Linked DNA regions of Schizosaccharomyces pombe. The gene in region 3 interacts genetically with the main gene of each other region. Each region holds a gene or a part of one and is shown on either strand. Other genes may lie near its edges.

Region 1 (3,598 bases), on a different chromosome or scaffold from region 3:
CGCTAGCGGTCTTTTGGGCCCTCTTCGCTCCAAGCGTTATGCCGCTGTTGTCGAGAATGGCAAGGTTGTCAAGGTTTTCATTGAGAACGAGGTCACCGATGTTGATATTTCCTCCGCTGACAAGGTCCTTAGCTCTCTTTAAATCTGATGAACTGTTGTACTAATTGTTTTGATGGGAATGTTTTTTTCCTTTAATGAACGAAACTTAGAATCAAAAAGATAAGCTCCTTATTTAAGGGCGTTTGAAATGATGGAGATAAAGCACTCCATATTTGAGTTTTTTTTGTCATTGTGATGATATATGTTTAGATTTATGAAATTTTATACACAATTATCTTAACAACTCATTGTTTGAGTACTAGTACAATTCTTTATAAGAAAGTAGATATGCTTAAAAAATTAATGTCAAGTAAAACGTTGAATCGATTACAATAAGTTTTCGTAACACGATTGAAAATCGGTAGAAGTTGAAATGGATATTCTAAGTGGTGGTATCAAAATAATGACTAGAAAGATGTAAGCACACCTTCAATGTATCATAATCAATGTCAGATGAATTTGGGTAATGAAAAACGTTGGCCACAGTTGGGGGCGTCTTCCTCTAGATGCTCGTCTTCTACAACCGTTCTTTACCTCAACCTTTAAATTTTCAAAATCTCCTTTTTAATAACAGTTTTCATTTTTGGGTTCTTTTTACTCATTTGTATTTCATCTTCGATGAAAATAGCTAATGTCTTAACTTTATCGTTTGCTGCAATTATTGCTGCTTCTTCCCTGGCGGTTGTAGTTAGTCCTATCACAGACAATTCCAGGGAGACAGCTTCATCCTCCATTTCTCAAAGTCCTCCTAGTCAATGGTCAAAAAAACAGTTAATTGAGTATTGTAAAAAAAATTCACTTAAAACTAGCGGATCTCATGAAGAATTGGTTATCCGTGTGCAAAATCATCTTCGTACCGCCTCTAAAAAAGTTGATGCCAGACCGTAATGACAAAACAGCTTGTATAGATTTTAATATGTTTTCGATGCTTACATAATGAGTGAGTGTCATTATTGAGGAATGCCATGTCAGATTTGACACAACTCAGAACTTATTAACTTTTTATGATTGGAACTTTTGTTTTGCCCAAGGAATTTTTAATGGAAGAAGTTGTTTTATAAATGATATTGAATTTATATCCACTCTTTTTAGCGCATTTGCATCTCTACTTTAGGTTCTTCTTTGACTAGATTCTAGGATGCGTATTGGATATACTGGTCTTTGAATCATTGTCGAAAAAAAAATTCATGGTTGTACCCATGAGCAAACTGCTTTTGTGGTTATCCATGTGCTTCTTTTGTTCAGCATCTATCTTCTTAATCGCATGGAAGATTTGATTTAAACCAAAAGAAATATTGTTAAACTTTGACAGAAGCTTTAAATTTTGATTCCATACATTAAATGGATAAAACTCCTGAAGCTTAGCTACAAATCCCACTGGCTATATGTATGCATTTGTGTTAAAAAAGTTTGTATAGATTATTTAATCTACTCAGCATTCTTTCTCTAAATAGGAATTTGTTACTTAATGGAGAAAAAAATGTTTCGATTTACCTAGTGTATTTGTTTGTATACTCACGTTTAATTTCAAACATCCATTCTATCTTGTGTAATTTTTGGCATGGTGAAAAAGATAATCAGCCTTATAATCTTTACAAAAGTAAGAAATTCTGTAAATAAGCCTTAATGCCCTTGCTTTAAATTAAAATGGTTCTTTTTCATGATAATGTTTGCACTTTGTGAATATATTTTAGATAGTTCTGTGAGGTATAATTAAGATGTTTTAGAGACTTATACAATTTTGTCTTTATAAATTCTTAATTGATTTTACCATCCCAGTTTAACTATGCTTCGTCGGCATCTCTGCACATGTCGTGTTTTCTTACCGTATTGTCCTACCAAGAACCTCTTTTTTGCTTGGATCGAAATTAAAGGTTTAAAAGCAAAGTTATGGATGCTAGAGTATTTCAAAGCTATTCAGCTAGAGCTGAGGGGATGAAAAATCCCATTGCCAAGGAATTGTTGGCTTTGATGGAAGAAAAGCAAAGCAACTTGTCAGTCGCGGTCGATTTGACGAAGAAATCCGAAATCTTAGAATTGGTAGATAAAATTGGACCCTATGTCTGTGTTATCAAGACACATATTGACGTTGTCGAGGATTTCGACCAGGATATGGTAGAAAAACTGGTGGCCTTAGGTAAAAAGCATCGTTTTCTTATCTTTGAGGATCGCAAATTCGCAGACATTGGAAATACCGTCAAGCTACAATATGCATCTGGTGTGTACAAAATTGCTTCTTGGGCTCATATCACAAATTGCCATACAGTGCCAGGCGAGGGTATTATACAAGGCCTCAAAGAAGTTGGTTTACCTTTGGGACGTGGTCTCTTGCTTTTGGCTGAAATGTCTTCCAAAGGCTCTTTGGCTACTGGTTCCTACACAGAGAAAACCTTAGAATGGTTTGAGAAGCATACCGATTTTTGCTTTGGCTTTATAGCTGGTCGTCGATTTCCTAACCTTCAAAGCGACTACATAACTATGTCCCCTGGTATCGGCTTGGATGTTAAAGGAGACGGGCTGGGACAGCAATATCGTACTCCTGAAGAAGTGATTGTAAACTGCGGTAGCGATATCATCATTGTTGGTCGTGGAGTCTATGGAGCTGGTCGTAATCCTGTTGTCGAAGCCAAGAGATATAGAGAAGCTGGTTGGAAGGCATATCAGCAAAGACTTTCTCAGCATTAAAAAAAGACTAATGTAAAATTTTTTTGGTTGGTTATTGAAAAAGTCGATGCCTTGTTTGCGTTTGTTTTCCTAGGCGTTTTATGTCAGAAGGCATTTAGAATTAGTATACAAGTACTCTTTGGTAAAATTTTATGTAGCGACTAAAATATTAACTATTATAGATAAACACCTTGGGAATAAAAAGTAATTTGCTATAGTAATTTATTAAACATGCTCCTACAACATTACCACAATCTTTTCTCTTGGATTGACATTGAATAAGAAAAGAGTGAATTTTTTTAGACTTGTAATGATAACTATGTACAAAGCCAATGAAAGATGTATGTAGATGAATGTAAAATACCATGTAGACAAACAAGATAAAACTTGGTTATAAACATTGGTGTTGGAACAGAATAAATTAGATGTCAAAAAGTTTCGTCAATATCACAAGCTTTATTATTCAAAACTAGTATACTTTTTCTCGGAGTATAATACACAATATCGGTGCAAATAGGTTTTAAAATTGCTCCAATCACATGTTCTTAAGAAAAAAACGTCAAAAGAAATCTAAGTATTCCCAAAATAATTCCTCCTGACATGAGAAGAATAAAAAACACTAAGATGCATTGTCAGTATGAAACACAAGCCAAAGTTGCTAACAATAGGATCAATTCTTACTTACTGGCAATGTTACGAGGAATCTTGGTAGGAGGATGTTTGGCAACATAACGTTCTTTTGAATTTGTTTTTACACGACGAGTAATGTTCTTCTGAAACTGTGTGTTTGCACGACGCTGAGAGGGAGTTTGAACCGTCTAAAAGACATAGTTAG
Region 2 (3,756 bases), 2.2 Mb from region 3:
GTCAACTTGACTTTATATTCTTTACCGAAATTTGCCCGGTATGCAATGGTGTTGGAAAAATTCCCTACTAAATCAACTGCTGAGCAAAACTGATACTCCATTAAGTTCTTGTTCATATATGACATACTCTTGTAATTATTATTTATTTGAAATGAGCGACAAGACTCATTTCTCAATTTAAATATTTGAATAATTTTAAAACATTTTTTGAATGTTGCGATTTTATTCATTCTATAATTTACCAGTTTTACGACAATCCCTTTTAAGCATTCTTTCCCACCAACCCATATCATAGAGCCCCTTTTATATGCTTATTGCTCATATCGAAAATGTCTTCGTTTTTTGGGTTTGTTTATGAATTCGTGAATTTTTAATTTGGTCATAGTTTTGACCATTAAGTTTGTTTTCCAAAAATGCTCTTTCCTTATCTACTTCGTTTATGCTTTGGAAAATTTCTTCTAAATAATATCTACGGGACTTCCTAATTCTTAAAATTGCAAAATCCGTCCGTGTTCTAAGTATTTATTTATTTTACTATTGTCTAAGTATATCGGAATGATTCTCAGAGCTTTGCACTTCTTTTTCCCTAAATTTTCTATTAACTTTTATCTTTTTGTTATTGTATTAACTTACAAAAGTAATACCGGTTCATCATGCAAAATTCCATGTTTTAACAGTTGTCATAACCTCTATCTTTTCTGTATAAGAAAGGGTAACTGTAAACCACAGTGCTATTGTTGCCTAATTGTTTCTACGTTTTCTTGAGTATTAAATACTTATTAAGAAGAAGCAAAAAAAAAAAACTTGATGAAATTATTCTCCTTTAGAAACCCTTGCTCATTTTTTATCTAGTTCGTCCTGTTTATCTGCTATGCCACAAGTACAAATTTCGGGAAGCAATATGGAGTGCCTATTTTCATTATTGTTTTCCATTGATGTCATTAGAATATTATCGTTATTTGTACATCAGATTAATTGCTATCTTCTGTTCTCGCAATAAGTTAAAAAAGCTATCACTATTGTCTTGACGAAGTATTGCACCATAATAAATGACTATTAATGAATCAAGCAAACACACTACATATGGCAACTTTTAAGCTTAAAAAATTCGTTAAAGACCCATTTGGATAGGTAGCATTTTCGTACAATTGTATGTTCTCCAATTTTATTTTTTCATTTGCAAAAGCAAACCACTGTCAGTTTCTCTTTAGGGCTGGCACAAGGAAAGCATATGCTAACATATACATCGAGCAGATAGTGAGTTAGACTACTTCTTCATGTTTAGTGTTGCAAATGACTTAGTAATTCCTGATTTGAAAATCTGTAAACTAGAAACAATCTTAAATTGGATTGGAGGATATTTCAAACTGTCTTATCAAAATTAAAATGAAAGTCCTTCTTGTTTATATATATACCTTTTGTATAAAAAGGTCAGTTTCATTCATATTTTTAACATTAATGTTATTATAAATAGGTTTAAATAATCATCAAGTTAACAGTTGGTCGCATGATGTAGTCGGTTATCATGTCGATCTAATAAGTCGAATGTCGCCAGTTCGAACCTGGCTGTGACCATGTTTTTTAATTACGTTTTCTCTCTTGACAAAGGAGTTGGCAAAACGAAATTATAAGTACAATATTTATTGAAACAGTTGATATACATATTTTTATAGAAAATTAAAACTATAGAAATAAATTAAGTAACCGCTTGATCTATGGCTCTTAGTTGTCGTATGTTGCATTTGAACTCGAAAGAGTTCAAATATATTTACTTTTCTTTCAACTTTTCTGTAGACAAGAACATAAGTTGTTTAGGAATTTCAAATTTCGATCCATCTTTACGATTTACCAATTCAGTCCGCAAAGCTCGCGTGAGTCTTCTCTTACACCATTTTATCAGAAGGAAAGTCTTCAGTAAGTATTTTTTAGCAGTTAACGAAAACACATATACTGTTTCGCCTTGATATTACCCATTTATTGAATGTATGTATCATTTCTTCAGAAAACAATCTCGCTTAGATATAGCTTATTTGAATTAAGCTATTGATTTTTTACACTGTAACCATACGCGCTTTGCATAATTATCTAGACAATGCAAAGAATGCTGAACGCGTCCAGAAAGTAAAAAAAATGAATTCGAATGATAAAAAAAAAGTTGTTAGATCATGGATTGAGCAATTTGTTCATGATTTTGTTGAGCAATTAAGTAAGCCTACCAAAGATTCAGTAAATGTTGCTTTGAAAAGACGAAAGCACAATTCTTGGAATGGCAGCTTAGATTCAAAGGCCAATGAAAGACAAAAAGTTAAGGTTTTTTCATTCCCCAGGAATGAAACAACAATTGCTCAACTATTCAGGGTTTTAGATTGTGTTCATGAAGCTGTTATTTCGGATACAGTAATCACTAAGCGGTAATTGCTTTGTACTATACGCCGAAAATTCAGATTTAAGTTCTAATTACATTTGCAGAGATATTTATTACAGAGATGTAGATTTATTCAAGCGACAAACCGTAGTCGATGAGCTGCTTGGAGATATTTCAAACACCATTGGTTGCTCCAGGTCCGACCTTAACGTTGTAAGTCATTTCTTTGGAAATAGATTCATTAACGATTAATTTGATCTTAGGAAGCATCTGCTAAAGGATTGGTATTTGGGTCCATTCATATTGCTCTTGAAAACGGGACAGTAATTACTGCTACTAAAGTAGGTTCAAGTTTTAATAACCGTAAAAATTGTTTTTTCTAACTAAGAATTTTACTAAATACAGCCATTATTAATCTCTCACCATCGAATTTCATCAATCACTTCCACAGCAAAATGGGTCTTGGTCATCGAAAAGGAAGCGGTATTCCAAACGCTAACCGAAGAGGCTTTAGCGGATACAATAATTGTTACAGTAAGTGAGAATGCTTCCTTTTCAATGATATTGATGTTAGAGTGCTAGCTAACTAATTGCTTGTAACAGGCTAAAGGATTTCCAGATTTGATGACGAGAAAATTTTTAGTTAAATTAGCCAAAGCCCTCCCGGATGCTAAATTTTTTGGTATTTTTGATTGGGACCCCCATGGCTTATGCATTTATTCCTGTTTCAAGTACGGTTCTAATGCCTACAGTCATGAACCGCACAGTCAATTACGAAATTTACAGCTTTTAGGCCCTCTGTATGAGGACATTTTTAATAAAAACCAAGAATTCTCTTTAAAATTGAATAAAAGGGATATTAAAATGATTACAACATTATTACAATTTGAAGGCTTCCAAAAGGAGCCCGTTGTTCGTGAACAGCTACAGCGAATGCTGTTTATCCAGAAAAAAGCGGAAATACAAGCAATTCTAGAATTTCCTTCATGGATCAAAGGAAAATTAGCTGATGCCGACAAAAGTGGAAAGCACTCAGTACGTTAAGTTCTTGGATAGTTCAACCTACTTTCACTACACTCCCATAATAAAGCCTCCAACATGGATGACTTGCTAGATTTCAATTTTTACGATAAATCTACACCATCTAATCAAAATAATTACAGTAATAATAATAGTAGAACGCCATCCTACTCCCTTCCCGCCCCAGTAGCCCAGAAAAAGAATGCACAAATTCCATTGAAAGCATCAAAGCCCGAAGACCCTTTTGCTAATTTATTTCAAAAGAAAACGGATAATAAAATTTCCTTAAAAGAACTAGAAAGGCAGAAAGTTGGAACTCCGGACTCCAATTCCACCCCCAAATCTTCAAATTACGATCCCTTTGAAAACCT
Region 3 (3,756 bases):
TCGGTCGTCATCGGAAGCTCGCAGGTTGAACCTGTTTTAAAGTATGCGCTTAAACACTTGTTGCGATAGATTTAAGCAAAAATTATTTGTTTACAATTTCTGGATATATCCGTCGCTTAAAATAAATGCGTTAGTTACGCTTGCCTTCAATTGATGGTAGAAAGTCTTGCGAAGAAAAGCTTGCTCATCACTTTTTCGTATAACAACTTTTTCTTTATTCGGCTTTTACCTTTGTTTTTTACGAAAATCTTAAGTAATCGATCTTTTCAATCTTATTGCTATCTCTTTGTTTTACCGTTACTCACTCATTTCCTTTTTGCTTGAACAGTTTTATGGTATTAGAAATTCACATTCTCATTGCAAAGCTTTGTTATTATTATGGGTTTCGCTTATACCATCTCATACAATCAATTGGTCCGTCGGTTTACTTTCTTTAAAAAAGGAGTTATTTAGCAAACTATTTATCCTTCTTTCAAACTTTCTTTTTAAACTTAACTATTTGCTTTTTCTCATGGCCCTCTTTTTTTAAGAAAATTTCGTTGCTTGCATTTCATTCAAAGTCTTAAATATGTCATCTGGTTCCTTAACTTATTGCTTTTAAATCGACTTCATCTTTTGACTGACTTTTGAATTTTTCTTTCAATTGTTTCACTGTAGTGAGATACAACCCTTAAAAAAGTCTCTTTGGTTTGTTTATTCTTATCCTTTTCTCATTTGCATTTCATTACTTATCAATCATTTCTGTTTCATTCGCCGTTTCGCTTTGTTTTTTCATTTGTACATTTCTTTACAGAATGGCGAATTCTTGTCAAATGCGACGGAAAGCCAATTTTCCTGAATAGTGTAAAACGAAATGAAACTTTTAACAGCTACCTGTTTTCCATCCCATGGTTTCTTGTTATTGAAAGTGGATAGCAAATAGTCTTTATGACCAGCCATTTCAATTTTACTTTCAGTCGCCTAACCAATCTCGTTATCTCATTTCTTTGAAATAAATGTACATACTGTACTTTTTCCTTTTCTTTTCCTTCCGTTCCTTTTTCACCGTCTCGTATATGTAATGGAGCGTCACGTTCCCTTCGCTGCACTTATCGCTCTTACTCTTTCGTCATGTTGAGGACCATCTAGCTCTACTTTCTCTCGTGTGGCTGGATGTTTACTTAACTTTGTTTTGGCCAGCATGCTCGACTACTGATAATTAAAAAATAAAAATTTTGAGCATTGTCTGTTTAAGAGTTGTTGCTAAGTTCTGGCTTTATTACTTTTATTCGCGGCACTCCGTTTGCCTTCTTGTATGTACCTTTTACAATTCTTCGTTTCCTCTCTTTCTTCTCAGTTCTAACTATCACTTGAACGCAAAGTGGTTAGATATACATTTTCCTCATTCTTTCGTATTAAATCAATTTATTAAATGCTTATAGCTTGCAAATCATACATTGTGCTGCATGATATTTACTTTCGTAGTTAACACGTAAAACGTATTTTCTGTACGCCAAAAAAGATAAAGAACAATTTGGTAATCGCGTTGTATATATATAAGGAAATGGGTTATAATGCGTTAAGGATCTAATCTGCAAGACCGATTAATTCTCCTTTCAGCCAACACCACGCGAAATCCGACGGATTTCAAAATTGTGCGCTGAAAGCACGAATTTGATTAAGGATTCCTTTTGTAGTTCTTTTTTATTTATTTCGTTCCCGAAAAAAGCGTTTTTGTATCAAATAGAAAGGATAAAACGGCCTTAATTGAAAGTTTTTTTTGCAAGCACAAATACTTGACTTTCTTTGGGAAATTGGCTTTTTTTTATTATCCAAAAGCAACGCTGGTTTGAAATTTTACCATCTTTTCCCCCTATGTCAAACTCAGCTCAGTAAGTAGTTCTTTAACTGCTATAAACACATTTGCTAACTTTTATGATTAGATCTCGTCGAATTCGAGTAACAAGTATGTGATGACATTATTCAAATGCCCTGTGCAAACGCTGACCCAAAATAGTTGTTGCTGCTGATGGCCTTTACAAACGAGATGTGTTTCGTTTTCCTGACCCGTTTGCGGTACTAACAGTGGATGGTGAGCAAACACATACCACAACTGCTATCAAAAAGACGTTAAACCCTTATTGGAATGAGACTTTTGAAGTGTAAGTGTATATCCCAGGTTTTGACCTTTCCAAGTAACTTTTATGTATATCAATTTTAGTTGGGGTTTCTTCCAGTTTATCCCTTATAATTTAGCTAATGTTAACTTTTTGATTAAAAACAATGTTTCTAACAATTCTTTAGTAATGTTACAGATAATAGCACCATTGCGATTCAGGTGTTCGATCAGAAAAAATTTAAGAAAAAAGGCCAAGGCTTTCTAGGAGTGATAAATCTTCGTGTTGGAGATGTGCTCGATCTCGCCATTGGAGGTGATGAAATGTTGACCCGCGATTTGAAAAAGTCAAATGAGAATACAGTAGTTCATGGCAAGATAATCATAAACTTATCAACGACTGCGCAGTCAACCTTACAGGTTCCATCCAGTGCAGCATCAGGTGCACGTACCCAACGTACTAGCATTACCAATGACCCGCAAAGCTCACAAAGTAGCAGTGTGTCTCGTAACCCTGCTTCCTCTCGTGCTGGTTCACCTACCCGCGACAACGCACCTGCTGCTTCCCCTGCTAGTTCAGAACCTCGCACATTTAGTTCATTTGAAGATCAATATGGGCGCCTTCCTCCTGGATGGGAAAGACGTACCGATAATCTTGGCCGAACTTATTATGTAGATCATAATACAAGAAGCACAACGTGGATTCGCCCCAACCTAAGTTCTGTTGCCGGAGCAGCCGCAGCCGAATTGCATAGTAGTGCATCGTCTGCGAATGTTACCGAAGGTGTTCAACCTTCCTCTAGCAATGCAGCTCGTCGTACAGAAGCTAGTGTTTTGACCTCTAACGCTACTACTGCTGGTTCAGGAGAGCTTCCACCGGGATGGGAGCAAAGGTATACACCAGAGGGTCGACCCTACTTTGTGGATCATAATACGCGAACTACTACTTGGGTGGATCCGCGCCGTCAACAGTACATTCGTTCCTATGGCGGTCCTAATAATGCTACTATTCAGCAACAACCTGTCTCTCAACTTGGTCCTTTGCCAAGTGGTTGGGAAATGCGTCTTACCAATACTGCTCGTGTATATTTTGTTGATCACAATACCAAGACTACCACTTGGGATGATCCTCGTTTACCTTCGTCGTTAGATCAAAACGTTCCTCAATACAAACGTGATTTCCGTAGAAAGTTGATTTATTTCCTTTCGCAACCAGCTTTGCATCCTTTGCCAGGGCAGTGCCACATTAAAGTGCGTAGAAATCATATCTTTGAAGATTCGTATGCGGAAATTATGAGACAATCTGCAACCGATTTGAAAAAACGTTTGATGATTAAGTTTGATGGTGAAGATGGTTTGGATTACGGTGGATTATCCCGTGAATACTTCTTTTTGTTATCACATGAAATGTTCAACCCCTTTTATTGTTTATTTGAATACTCTTCGGTTGATAATTATACGCTTCAAATTAATCCTCATTCTGGCATTAATCCAGAGCATTTGAACTATTTCAAGTTCATAGGCCGAGTCATTGGTCTCGCAATTTTCCATCGTCGGTTTGTTGATGCCTTTTTCGTTGTTTCTTTTTACAAAATGATTTTACAAAAGAAGGTGACGTTACAGGATATGGAAAGTATGGATGCAGAGTATTATCGAAGTTT

Evidence for each region.
Region 1: of pub1 (region 3) and ura4, a mutation in one rescues a mutant of the other (synthetic rescue), as found in Schizosaccharomyces pombe (2 studies listed by BioGRID).
Region 2: mutations in pub1 (region 3) and rec12 together harm fitness more than expected from each alone (negative genetic interaction), as found in Schizosaccharomyces pombe (2 studies listed by BioGRID).

The regions. Positions count from the first base shown.
Region 1 is NC_003421.2:114,967-118,564, reverse strand, and holds ura4 (orotidine 5'-phosphate decarboxylase Ura4), read left to right. Parts: upstream 1-1,939; 5' UTR 1,940-1,989; coding exon 1,990-2,784; 3' UTR 2,785-2,976; downstream 2,977-3,598. Other genes in the region: thioredoxin-related chaperone Pmp20, read left to right, coding at 1-142; protein new25, read left to right, coding at 718-987; protein tam14, read right to left, coding at 3,309-3,382, 3,449-3,581.
Region 2 is NC_003424.3:1,770,795-1,774,550, forward strand, and holds rec12 (DNA topoisomerase type II (DSB-forming) Rec12/Spo11), read left to right. Parts: upstream 1-2,130; coding exon 2,131-2,411; exon of another isoform or gene 2,412-2,469; coding exon 2,470-2,578; exon of another isoform or gene 2,579-2,628; coding exon 2,629-2,706; exon of another isoform or gene 2,707-2,770; coding exon 2,771-2,899; exon of another isoform or gene 2,900-2,968; coding exon 2,969-3,409; downstream 3,410-3,756. Other genes in the region: protein hua1, read left to right, coding at 1-71; UBA/TPR/DNAJ domain protein Ucp7, read left to right, coding at 3,464-3,756. UniProt on the Schizosaccharomyces pombe protein: Required for formation of the double-strand breaks (DSBs) that initiate meiotic recombination. Required for crossover recombination and chiasmatic segregation of chromosomes during meiosis I.
Region 3 is NC_003424.3:3,961,469-3,965,224, forward strand, and holds the start of pub1 (HECT-type ubiquitin-protein ligase E3 Pub1), read left to right. Parts: upstream 1-1,597; 5' UTR 1,598-1,854; coding exon 1,855-1,871; intron 1,872-1,922; coding exon 1,923-1,945; intron 1,946-1,996; coding exon 1,997-2,141; intron 2,142-2,283; coding exon 2,284-3,756. Other genes in the region: protein Mtl2, read left to right, coding at 1-40. UniProt on the Schizosaccharomyces pombe protein: E3 ubiquitin-protein ligase which accepts ubiquitin from an E2 ubiquitin-conjugating enzyme in the form of a thioester and then directly transfers the ubiquitin to targeted substrates. Regulates ubiquitination of cdc25.